Schizosaccharomyces pombe: one gene and its partners. The protein of the gene in region 2 interacts with the protein of the main gene of each other region in a pairwise test. Each region holds a gene or a part of one and is shown on either strand. Other genes may lie near its edges.

Region 1 (4,947 bases), on a different chromosome or scaffold from region 2:
TCATTTTACACAAGTGTAGCATAAGCTTCGATTCAATTCTGGTATAACTAAATTAAAAGTAAAACAATAATTTTGGAAAGGCGTTAATAATTTACCTTGTTTTCTCTTTTTTCGACATTGACTCCTCTTCTAAAGTATTCGCTTATTACTCCTAATTCTGCTCCTCCTAATACATCGATTCCTACTACTTGCATTGCTAATTCTAATAATTACTTCTTAATAATAATAACATACTAACTAACTTCCAACTCATAATACACTTTACTATTCTACCCTTGCAATTTACCCATCTCGCCTTCCATCTTTTCTCAATCATATTATGGTTTCTTATTCTCAAGATTAATCAAATCTACCTACCTCAAAAAGAAAAAAAAAGGCTCTTTGCAACGAAGTACATCATCCTTCACGTGCAAAAGACTAGCCAAGCTGGCACAAATATCCATCATACTACCAACAAAATAATAGCTACGCTAAACCCACTAAAAGCAAAACACACTTTCTTCAAATTCCCCCTCTCACACCACCAGCCAGCCAAGCCAAGCCAGTCTAGAGTCTTTTTCTTCCTCCGATAGCAATAGCAGCAACATATAAAAACAAATAAAATAATAATTATAATAAAAGGTATAATAATAAAATAATTGCGACATCTCCGCCTTATAATAACTATGTAAAAATTGAACAGTTTCTTAGCTATGAGCAAACTAGGGTTTCCGTCTAACATGCTCTCCTTCGCGCACGCCAGCTTATTAAATTAAGTTTTCTTTCAGCTCATACCTGTCACTGACGAAAAAAATAAACCAATCAAACTCTCGGTCGATTGAATTCTCAAAGCAACATATATCCACGATTGTAATAAAATAAAATAAAAGGAAAAAGGGGAGAAAAAAAGACAGTTTAAAAAATTTTTTTTCCATGGATAACAAAAACACAACCAACAAATATTGAAAACTTTTGACGTTTTTTTAACCCCTTTCATTCAATCAAACAAATCTTTCTCTATTCCGTCCACAAAGGGAATATAGATAGATAGATAGATAGATACCACCACACCTTCAACAAACTTTTATCCGTCCGCATCATTTTTTCATAACTCTTTATAAAAAACGAGAGGTGTGGAATTTGCAATGCCTTTAGCCTGTCTTTTTTTTTAAACGCCAATTTCGTCGAAGCAATTCAATCATACACCACCTTCCTTCTTCCTTCTATGACAAAAGAAAAGAGAGAAAGGAACCAGATGACACATACAATTATTCTTTAATAAAGAAAATAAATTATGACCAAACAAGGACCTGGGGAAAAGAGTAGTAAAAAAGAGTCGACAAACGAAGGAAGAATATCATAAACCCATTATCGTTTGTCAGTAACGATTGTTTCTGGGATCATCAATCCATCCAAAAAGGAAAAAGTCACGAAAAAGCCCAAATGGGATTACGATAAGCTTTCAAGAAATTTCTTTTTTATTTTCGCTTGACACTGCAATTTCCCTCTCCACGACGACAAATAGAAAAAAAGTAAAGAGTTTTTTTAAGCAACCTGGACGGCGGTTTGCTGAGGAACGGCATCGCTAGACTCAGAAGCAATGCGAGACATACGCTCAGCATGGACATGAGGGTGCATGCCAGGCTCGTTCTCAATGATCTCGCTAGTGTCGGATTGAACGTCGTCTTGTAAGTGGGTGACTTGCTCAACGGGGACGGGCTCACCTTGAGCCTCATACTCGTTCCAGGAACGAGCGTCACTTTGGGCATCATCCTCGATTTGAGGCTTGACAAAGTTGACGGCGGGTTGGCTGGGAACCCAAGAGCTCAAGGCGTGCTCAGCATCCATGACGATTTGGCGGGAAGTCTCATAACCATCGTAGGCAGGACGAGCCTCACCGGGAGTGACGGGGGTGTCGTCAATCAAGTTCAACAAATGTCTGCCATAGGTGGCAATGAGGTTGAGCTTCTCGGCATGCTCGTGGAGGGCATCCAAGTTGAAGGTCATGGCTTGCTTGAACTTTTCACGGGTGGTGTTGGAAAGTTGAGCCTCGGCAACCAAACAGGCAGCCTCCTCACGAACAAGCTCTTGCTCCATGGTGACCAAGCGAGGGGATTCAGGATCCTTATGCTTAAGAGCATAGATTTGATCCAAGAGCTTTTGCTTCTTCTCACGAGAGGGTTGGACAGAGGACTCGATGTTACGGATGGACTTCAACGTCATACGGTATTGGTCATAACGATCGATCAAGTAGTTCTCCAACTCGGCCATCTCGTAAAACAAGACACCCAATTTGTCGGTGACGTCGCTGATATCGTCATCGCAGTCCTCACCCCAGTAGGAAAGTTGGCGAGCACAATCACGACGGCCACGGATGGTGACCTCCATACTGCGCATCACGTTCTTTTCCATCTTGACCAAGACAGCCAAACGCTTAGCCAAGTCAGGGGTGAAGGTGGCAGCGTGGTTGATACGCATGGTATGACTCAAGGGGGCAAACAAACGACCACTACGAGTGGAAGAGGAGGGAGGAGGGGGGTTTAACAATTGTGAGGCCGTAGGGGCACGGCTGTTTCTTAAAGAGTACGCACGGTTCATCATCTTGCAGAAATAGAAATAGATGTGGGTAAATAAGAAGAGATGGTAGTAATAATAAAAATAAGTGGTAGTAGTAGTAGTATATTAGTATGTGATGATACTAATAAGAACAATTATAGTGAGAATAATTTAGTAGAGAGAGGACGAGTTATAAGTAAAAAAAAAAGAGTAGGACGAAAAATGTTTAACACTTTACCAAAGGGCGATACGAAATTTCGTGGGTATATAGTTAAATAGGATAGATAGTTAGATAGAGAGAGTGTGTATAAAAAAAGCCCAAAAATAAAAAAATTTGTCGACTATATGAAAAAATGGAAAGGAGTCGGGATTTTTTTTTGGGGAAAGGGAAAAACGAGGAAATTTTCCTTTTGGATTTCTTTCAAATTCACTTAGCTTAGCTTAACTTTTGCTTAGCGGCTATTCTCTGGGTATAACAAAAATGTGATGGGGTATATATAAAAAAAAAAAAGATTATATATATATATATATCCCAAGGTATGTTATATCCTATGGTATGAGAAAGGATACTATAATAAAGTATAGTATAGTTAAAGGATAAAAAAGAAAAGAAAGTTTTGACTAAAGTCAATGAAAACGTGAGTATGGATAAAGGTGTATCGGTAAATGAGCGAGCCAGTCTATATATACAAAGCTAAGGTGGGAAAATGATATCATCACTTGCCGTAGTGAACAAGAGTAGGTAAACATCATTTGGTCAGCTTGCTGGCCACAGTTGCCATAGATATGTCCATTCCTTCTATCACGTAAACATGACGTTCCCATTCGCGATAATATAAAACCGAATTTCTTTCTGGATAGCGATGTTGACCAATGCGTTTGGCGCACCGCGTTAACTGGAGCTGAAGGGGGAGGGGAGGGGGGCAGCGAGTGTTGAAGGGCCGATGGGGTAAACAAACGCGTCGTCGTTGTGAAAGAAAGAAAGAGAGTGAAAAGAATGAATAGGCCGGGGAGTGGTAGGATGTGGTAAAGAGAGAAGAGGGAGAAGTGACGATGGGTGTGTTGAAGAAGGATAGAGCAGAGGAAGGCAAAGTGGGTAAAAAGGAAATAGAGTAGAGAAATGAATAGAGATAGAGGGGATAAAACGGAGGAGGATAGGACAGAGGAGAATGGGATAGGATAGGATAGTGTAGAGGAGGATGGAGTAGCTTAGGATAGAATAGTGTAGTGTAAAGTAGAGTAGAGTAGAGTAGAGAAGAGAAAGAAAGGTAAGAGAGAGAGAGAGAGAGACAAGAGAAAAAACAAAAGATAAATGGACCGATAAAGATAAATATAGAAAGAAAGATAATATAAATGGATAAATATGGATGAAACAAAAATAAAAAAAAAGGTTAAAACAAAAGAGAATAGAATAGAGAAAAGGTAAAAGTTAGAGGCAACAAGGGTAGGTAACAAGGAACGAGGTGACAAGAAATGGAAAAGTGAGAGAGAGAAAAGAAGTAGCGAAAGAGAGTGAGTGATATTGTGAAGAAGTGAGTTGTGAGTGAAACGGGATATGAGTGTAGTAAGAATGAAGAAAAGAAAGATGAAATGAGTTCAGAAGAAATTAGATGAATTCAGAAGAAATGATTGTAAACGAGTTTAAGAAAATGCCGACGCTGACTATGAATGAGTATTAGATACTTGCAACAATTTTATCAGTTTATTCGGAAGATGAAGAGGATCGAGTGAATACGGAAATATCTATCTTTGGCAATACGGGAATGGAGCACCAAATGGAACACGGGAGTGTAACGGGCATGGCATGGCATAGCATAGCATAACATTGCATGGCACATGGCATGGCGATGTACTGATAATAGCTAGAAATGCTAGAGTAGCGACGAGAAGAGAGAAAAAAGAGCGACAAAAGGAAATAAAATAAAACGAAAGAAAATAAATAAACAAAAGAATACTCGAAATAAAATAAAACGAAATAAAATAAAATTAAACGAAATAAACAAAAGAATACCTCTATTATTTCCCTACTATTTTCCTACTAGTTCCCTTCTACTTTCACTTCCTTTTTCATGGCTCTTCTTCTCTCTCCTGCTCCTCCGACCGTCCGTACTTCTCTCCCTCTCTCAAATCTCTCTTCCCGACATATGGGAAATCTTCTTTTCCCTCCTCGCTGCCTTACTGTACTAGACTCCTGCTCTGCCGCCGCTGCCTTGCTTCCCTCCTTTCCCTACGGTGCGCGCGCACGATAACCAAACGCCGCAAGAAGCGATCGTCTATTGGATAAAGTTAGTGTCTCATATAGCCGAGGTATGGGAAAGGTGCGCAAAGGCAGTGCGCAGCAGGACAGACAGTTAAGAGGGTGCCAAGCAGTGCAGTAGAGTGCAATGTAGTACAGTAAGCTACCACGTAAAT
Region 2 (2,571 bases):
TTGGTTGCCCAGAGGTCTATTTCTCATCTCAAAAGTAAAAGCAGAAGCCGATATGCTTCCCATCCAGATCTACAGGCTTTGAATACTTGGATGACTAACGAAGGAAACCAAGCTAATGATGAAATGGAAGACGTATCCCTATATTTGGAGGAGAGATATGGGCGTAATTTAGATTTAAGTTTGGCTACAGCAGCTAAACTTGTTCTTCGACGACGTATCGCTGGTACCTTAAAAGATGAAGTTGATTTGCAAAAGGCTTTACCCAAAGAAGGGTCTCAGTATTTACGTGAAGTTAAAGGTTTAAGTCACGACGATGTTTTTTTATTTCCTACTGGCATGAGTGCTATTTACAATACTCATCGCATATTAAGGTTGGTGCTTGATGATAGCCGTAAAAGTGTTTGTTTTGGTTTTTGTTATGTTGATACCTTAAAAATTTTACAGAAATGGGGATCTGGCTGCTACTTTTATGGACTAGGTAATGACGAGCAACTTGATGAGTTTGAGAAACGGTTAGAAAGTGGAGAGAAAGTTATGGCATTGTTTTGTGAGTTTCCATCAAATCCTCTTTTAAACTCTCCCGATTTGGTTCGTATTCGGAAATTAGCAGACAGTTATGATTTTGCTGTCGTGGTTGATGAAACAATTGGAAATTTTGTCAACGTTGAGGTTTTACCATTAGCAGATGTAGTTGTCAGCAGCCTCACAAAGATTTTTAGCGGTGATAGTAATGTAATGGGAGGTAGTATGGTTTTAAATCCGTCAAGTCGTTACTACTCTCGAATAAAAGATGCTATGAAGGCTCTTTATGAAGACTTATTATATGATGAGGATGCTTTGACATTAGAAAGAAATAGCAGAGATTTTGCTGAACGTTCACAAGTGATAAACCATAACGCGGAAACAATTTGTAATTTGCTTTATCAAAACCCTAAAATTAAAACTCTATACTATCCCAAATACAATACATCAAAAGAGCATTTTGAAGCTTGCCGGAGAGAAAATGGAGGTTATGGTGGTCTTTTGTCTGTCGTTTTCCACAATCCTGAAGATGCGCGCCAATTTTACGACAAAATCCAAGTAGCAAAAGGTCCCTCACTTGGTACAAATTTTACGTTGGCTTCTCCCTATGCAATTTTAGCTCACTACCAAGAGTTGGATTGGGCTGGTGAGAATGGCATAGATAGAAACCTTGTTCGTGTCAGCGTTGGAATGGAACCCAGCGAACACCTGAAAAATGTTTTTATAAATGCTCTTTCATAACTTGTATCTAAACTGTTTTCAAATAATAGATATTTTTTAAAAACCCAATCATATAACTATAGTTATAGATGAAACTGTCATAGTTATTCTTGAAATTGTTGTTTTTTCTTTTTGGTATTACCTTAAATATATTTAAACAAAATAGAAAATATATGCCTGATGTGATAGGAAAATGTAGTAAAGATATGTTTTTCTAGCTATTTCGAATGTGAGAAATATTTTAGGAAGTTCATTGTCTAAATGTTTACTTCGGGAACAGATGCAACGAGGTACAATACGTTCGCTTGGGGTATGCTACTTTGTTCTCAACGCTCAGTAATAAAGTGCGCGCGCTAGAAATTCTTTTGGTGCAAACCAAAATCATAATGCCCGAATCGGCTCCTTCAACTCCTCCATCTGTAAATCGGAGGCATGAACCAGAAATGCTTTCAGAGTACCCCTCGCTGATGTTTGAACACTCATATTTGGCGTCACCCTCTAGTCCGATTGATCAGGTTCATGACGAACTCAAACACTCTCAGAAACGTCCAAGATTAACTAACGACGAAGAAACAATTCCAGAAGAAGATGACAGTACTGTTCGCCTTACAGACTCAGAGCTTGAAGATCCAGTTTCAAGCAACGAGTTGATTCAAACTTCATGTCACCTGCTCACAAGCGTGTTAACTCAGCTACAGACCAACTTAGATAAACTTAAAGATAGTCATCAAAAAGCATTACTTCGGATACAAGAACTAGAAAAAAAGGTCTCTGAATTAAGCAAAAATAATAAAGATTCATGAGAAAAACCCATATGCCAATTTGAGTGGAATTGCGATCATGTTTTATCAGCCGGCTCAAAACAAAAAGCAATATGACGATCTTGCTGATATAGAAGCTCAAAATAATGTTCCTAATACCCAAGAAGTTTTAGAGGCATGGCAAGAGTCTTTAGACAGTGATGAGGACGAGTCTTCGCCACTTGAGGAATCCAACGGCTTTACAATATCTGAACATGACGATTTCGTAAAAAGCGTTCCAAGAAAGAATAATCCAACGGATTTGCTGTATTCTGGAAAGCTTCTGGACTCAGACGAGCCTCCATCTGTTCATGGAAATTCTTCAAAAGTACCCTCGAAACACCCCAGTCCTTCCTTTCCTGAAACTACTTCTCTGAGGAACCTGCAAAATGGTTCAAAGCAAAAACCAGCACTCCCCAATTTTAACGATCCCCATTTTTATAATGAAGATGTCACTCGCTCTGGACATCCTAATCGATCTATTTATACTCAGCTTCCTCGTAACGAATTTTCCAACGCTCGCGTTCTT
Region 3 (5,111 bases), on a different chromosome or scaffold from region 2:
GGACTTTTACTCTAGTCGTATCCCCACTCGAGAGCGCAAAGAGACAATTGTTGACGAATTATTGCACGATTCAGAAAGACGATCGTACTTCAAGAAAAAATATCTAGAATTACAAAAATCGAAAATGAGTGGACGGAAGGGGCAATATAAAAAACTTCAGCAGCGCCGAAAACCTTCTTACTTGAAATAGTGGTTGATGTTTCCATTTTCCGTTGTTTAAGTTATTTTGTCGTTTTTTTAATTTAATATATGGTCTTTAAGGGGAATATTTAAACATTTTATTTGAAGTCTTGTTTTTTAAACACGAAGTTTCTCGTAGAAAGTTCGCTTTTAGTATGATGCTGTTTTTTTGGGGGTTCGCTATTCTTGTTGAATGATATCGATGCCAATTTCCTCATTTGTATGGGCTTAATATTCTTGTTACTGCCAGAGAAATGCAATAATTACACTCAATAGTTTAAATAGGTTTTATAAAATAGTTATCGGAGAACATTTATATTAATCAATACATATGTGATAGTCGATATCAAAATTAAAGACAAAAATGTTGAAACTCTATTTACTGACAGTGAAATTTTAAAAGAAATAAAAAACAAATATAAAGTATAGTCACTTTCAATTTGGTATATGTATGGACGTTCACCCATAAGAAACAAGCGCCAGGATTATAGTAATCTAATTGCATTTCAAAAGTTCACAGACTTAAACAAATAGACCTCCTGAACAAAAGAAACATATATTAAAAAACAAAAACAATAATATGAATGATATTAACTTTTGTCAGTGTAATTACGCTTGCTTTTTCGAAGCCCTAAAAAGGGTCAACTATATTGTACATCAACTACAAGCACCATTTGTATCAAATACAATGGATATATAGTCGTCTTCCTTTTGCTTCTGAGCATTCTGGTAGGCAGCTTCCATCAAGGAATTTTTAGTGGCTTGTTGTTGTTGTTGTGATTGCAAAGCTTCGATGTCTTGTTGGAAGTGTTGCTGGGATTGACGGTGCTCCTGTAAATGAGGAGGGATATTACTCTGAGATATTCCAGCTTTATTATGAAAGTTAGCATGATGCTGTTCCAGCTCATCATAACTATCATCGAGGTATCCGCCAATCTCTGCCACCCAAGTCATGTATTCATCGACCCAACATCTAATTACCCAAAGAGCCCCAAATGCTTCACCTCCACTGACCGTGATTTCACGAAGCACACTAGTTTGTAAAGCGCCTAGGCATAGAAGAAACATTCTAGGAGAGCAGGAGGGAAATCTGGAAGGCAACTCCAGAAAAAAATCTGCCATACGATCTAAAACACCATCAATTTGTCGAAGTTCGACCCTGTTCATTGATGTATCACTGGCTTCATGTTTGTCCTTCAAAGGGTCTAAAAGCTCAGAAGGATTTGAACAGGTTGAAAGGATAGAATACCACTCATCCAACGCGGCTACTGCTTCTTTGTCATTGCACATTAATTCTCTATGTACAATAAATCTTGTACTGACAAATCGTTCCCAGTCGTTACAAATTAAATGCCTGTCGGCAGGGTTGGCAAGGAACCTAGCAGCAGCATGAGCCGTATCGTTGACACGCAAAAGACGAGACAATAAGTTACTAAAGATTGCGGCAGTCTCAGATTTGACTTGGAGAAGACAAGATGAATGAGAAGCGTATATGCTGGATATGTGATTAACGAGATTCTCAGCTAAATGACGCAGTAGCACCAAGACTGGCGGAGGTACCACTTGAAGAGTCATAGGGAATAGCAACTTCAGTATTTCCCTGTACATAACGGTATCAGAACGCTCAATCCATTTCGTGAAATAAGGAGAGGACAGCAAAGCTAAAAGAGAAGGAGAGAGGGAATTGGGAAAGTTAGAGATCTCGGACAGAAATTGCTTGAGATGCATATACCGGACTGATTCAATTAGAGTAATGCAATGCGAAGAATAAATGTTCATTAATGCAGATTTCGCCTCGACATTATCGTATGGACCATTTAAATAATAGTCAATAGGAGGTAAGGAAAATGAAGACACGTCTAATGATGGGATCCAAGGAAGCTTATGAGGAGGCAAGAATTTAAGTTTAAGTTTGAAGAATAGGGAATGTTGAAGATTAAAATCTTCTTGTGCAGAAGCAGGATGCAAGGTAGGTACTATCGAAGAAGTACCGGGTACAAACGAAGAAGAAAACTGAGGCATGGGTTGAGAAAAATAGGTCGGTTGGGACACAGAACGGGGTGGTGCAGGTGAAGGTACCGAAGAATGAGAAAGTTGTGGCGGAACATTGGATTGTGAAAGATGTGAAGGTAGGGGATGGGCTTGTGGAGCAGCAAAAGAAGGAGCCAATTGCAAATTGGTTTGACTTCCTAGCAAAGGTATAGAAGGAGGAGGCGAATTGTAAGGATCTGATGAAGGGGTGACAGCGGATTTTCTAACTATAGCCGCAGCATTAACCGATGCAGGGCTGCTTTCTACACGCTGATTTGTGTTTTGAATAGAAGAAACATCGTTTTCAAAATGATTGGGAATAGGTTTGGGAAACGAAGAACAGGAAACGGGGGAAAGACTTGAATCTGAAAAGGTACGTAGTCTGCGAAAAGAGTCTTGACCACGCAGTTTAATACCACAATAATGGTATTTTGAGTGGCCACGCATGCCTAAACGTCGGGTTTTGATGGAAGGAAAGAGCAAACGAACCAGTTTTCCAAACGAAGCGGAATTTAGAGGTTTGATATGCAAAGAGTTACAGATTTCGACGTAATGAGCGTATATTTGATTTCGTTGGACAGCAGCATCTTGTTGTTCTTCACAAGCACGCTTTAACCAACATATGCCAAAAACCTGGCGAAATTTTTCCGAATTGGCACTTACGTGGTCCATTCGCAGCTTTTCCGCTAGCGACTCTAAAGAGTAATGTTCATGTTCCAACGCAAGTCTTTTTAGTTCTGTCTCTTGCTCTAAATCACTTCCTCGTGGATGTGCAGATTCGGAGGTTATGGAGGGGCGATTCAAAAAATTCTCCTCCTGGGGAAGCATAAAATGAGTATCAAAGCGTTGAACCGGGTCCAATTGATCTTGGACATTCATATCTGATCTAGACAGAGGTATTTGACCTGGTAAATCAGATGGATTCATAATCCTGTGCCTGACAGAACGTTTATCGGAAGTGCAAAAATTTACCACAAAAAATTATCTACTTGCCAACATCCAACCGGTACTATACAAACCTTTTTTAAGATACCAAAAATTAAAAAGCACCCTCTATACGTCGTAACTATTAAATCCTCAGAAAATATTTGAGGGGCAAATTGACCAGCCTTGGCTAGTCGGAAATGCTCAAGTGTGGTGAAGACAAGAAGATGCTTATGGGCAAAGAAAGCGCCAACTCCTCGAGGTCGTAAAAAAAATGTTTCCACCGTCGATCACTATCGCTTGTTAAGCGCAAGGATTTTAAACTTCGGTGTTTAAAAGACAAGGATAATCACGGCACTGCAGTGGGGCGCTTGATTACATTCTTAATTCTTCGCTAGCTTAATTTTACATCAAATTGCTTTTCTTTCCACCTCCTTCGGGCTTGTTAATTGTTATTTACGATATCAATCCATGATCCTATTCGTCGTTGCGAAGTCTTGAACCATTGAAACGTTAAATGAAATAGTGAATTTCATTGCACCTAAACCAAAGCAGTCGCTTGCATGCTTACACACACCAATCATAAGGAGGTGAAGAATGAATGCAAATAGCCGAAGTAAAGTCCATACAAGCTTCTTCTGTTTAATTTCTTTTTTCTTTTTTCTGCGGATTTAAAAGACTTTTATCTTTTCAAAAGAATCTTCATTTTCACGATAGCGTTTTTAAAACGACGAACTAACAATGACTTGTTTTTCTACCAAAATAGTAGCGGGTATTGCGGAAAACCCGTATTTTCGAGCTTTTTGAAAATCATTGTCTACTGCTAAAACATCACTAACACAAGTAGAATATTGCTGAAATCATGACTATTTAGTCAAAAAATTTCCTTTTTCTTCTTAGGAGTGGTAGAGGGAGGAAAGTAAAAATCAACGAGAAACTTTGCAGCGCTTATTTACCGCAAAGTGGGGATGGCGAGTCAATATGGAATAAATTAATGGAAAAAAAAAGAATGGCATGACCTGCGCATTCTTGTATGTTTTTTTAGTCGATCTATCGTACACAAAAAGCATCCAAAATTTTTTTACATTAAATTTCTACACCAACTTAAATATCATTTACAAAGTTTTTATACTTTAAAAAACATGTTTGTTTATACAAATTTACTTGCTCTCTTCAAGTTTTACGAACTTCTGGACACTTGTAACAAATTCGTTAAAAAATAAAAAAAAAATAACCTCACGCTTAAACGAGCTATTTTCGGTAGATTTTTAACGGCTTAAAGTTCATTCAATGACTCGCTCCATGTAAACTATCCTTCTTTTATGAAGAATTCAAATACCCACCATTGTAGGATTTTCTCCATACTTTCTAACAATATCACTTTCCGCCTTTAATCTTTTTTTTCCTCCCATAGTTTGGGTTTCTTATCCCATTTTTTGTTATAGGCATCTTCTCAGTTTCTGAGGTATTGCAACGCTTTAATTGTATGGTTATGAACTTTAGCTACTTGATTTTACCAAAAAAATAATCCCGTTTTGATACCATTTATCAACTATCTTTGGTAGAGAAGAAAAGTTTCTATCCTGTTGTCTTATCTGCGTGTCATTGAACATTCCTCCTATATTTTGCTTGTTTTCATTCTGACCTAGTCATAAGTGTAGCATTCGTTTCTACGGCCTTGTTCCTTTTTGAAAAAATTGTCTGCGAGCTGTAATCAGTTGGATTATAACACAGCTGTTTTTTTTTATTTTCATTACATTTATTCTTTATCTTTATTTATTTGTTCACTTTATAAACCAATTAAATAAAAAGTAATAAAGAATGGCTAAACTTCCAAAAATCACTTCTCTCCTTCCACATAGCAGAGTTGTTTCAGGTATTCAGCCTACTGGAATTCCTCACATTGGCAATTATTTGGGATCTCTAAAGCAATGGGTTCAACTACAAGAGGAAGCCGCTCGTACCCCATTCTCCAA

Evidence for each region.
Region 1: the proteins of SPOM_SPBC15D4.08C (region 2) and pil1 interact in a two-hybrid assay, tested with the Schizosaccharomyces pombe proteins (one large-scale study listed by BioGRID).
Region 3: the proteins of SPOM_SPBC15D4.08C (region 2) and sak1 interact in a two-hybrid assay, tested with the Schizosaccharomyces pombe proteins (one large-scale study listed by BioGRID).

What each region holds. Positions count from the first base shown.
Region 1 is NC_003421.2:346,805-351,751, reverse strand, and holds pil1 (lipid binding protein Pil1), read right to left. Parts: upstream 3,194-4,947; 5' UTR 2,581-3,193; coding exon 1,525-2,580; 3' UTR 587-1,524; downstream 1-586. UniProt on the Schizosaccharomyces pombe protein: Negative regulator of cell wall integrity (CWI) in unstressed cells, probably by inhibiting protein kinase ksg1/ppk21 activity and regulating their downstream CWI pathways pck2-MAP kinase pathway and protein kinase gad8 pathway.
Region 2 is NC_003423.3:3,025,133-3,027,703, reverse strand, and holds SPOM_SPBC15D4.08C (uncharacterized protein), read left to right. Parts: upstream 1-1,628; coding exon 1,629-2,045; downstream 2,046-2,571. Other genes in the region: met3 (cystathionine gamma-synthase), read left to right, coding at 1-1,263; autophagy-associated protein Atg9, read left to right, coding at 2,083-2,571.
Region 3 is NC_003424.3:3,146,370-3,151,480, forward strand, and holds sak1 (DNA-binding transcription factor Sak1), read right to left. Parts: upstream 3,351-5,111; 5' UTR 3,139-3,350; coding exon 838-3,138; 3' UTR 579-837; downstream 1-578. Other genes in the region: rRNA processing protein Fcf2, read left to right, coding at 1-190; tryptophan--tRNA (Trp) ligase Msw1, read left to right, coding at 4,957-5,111. UniProt on the Schizosaccharomyces pombe protein: Positively regulates cyclic AMP-dependent protein kinase-mediated exit from the mitotic cell cycle.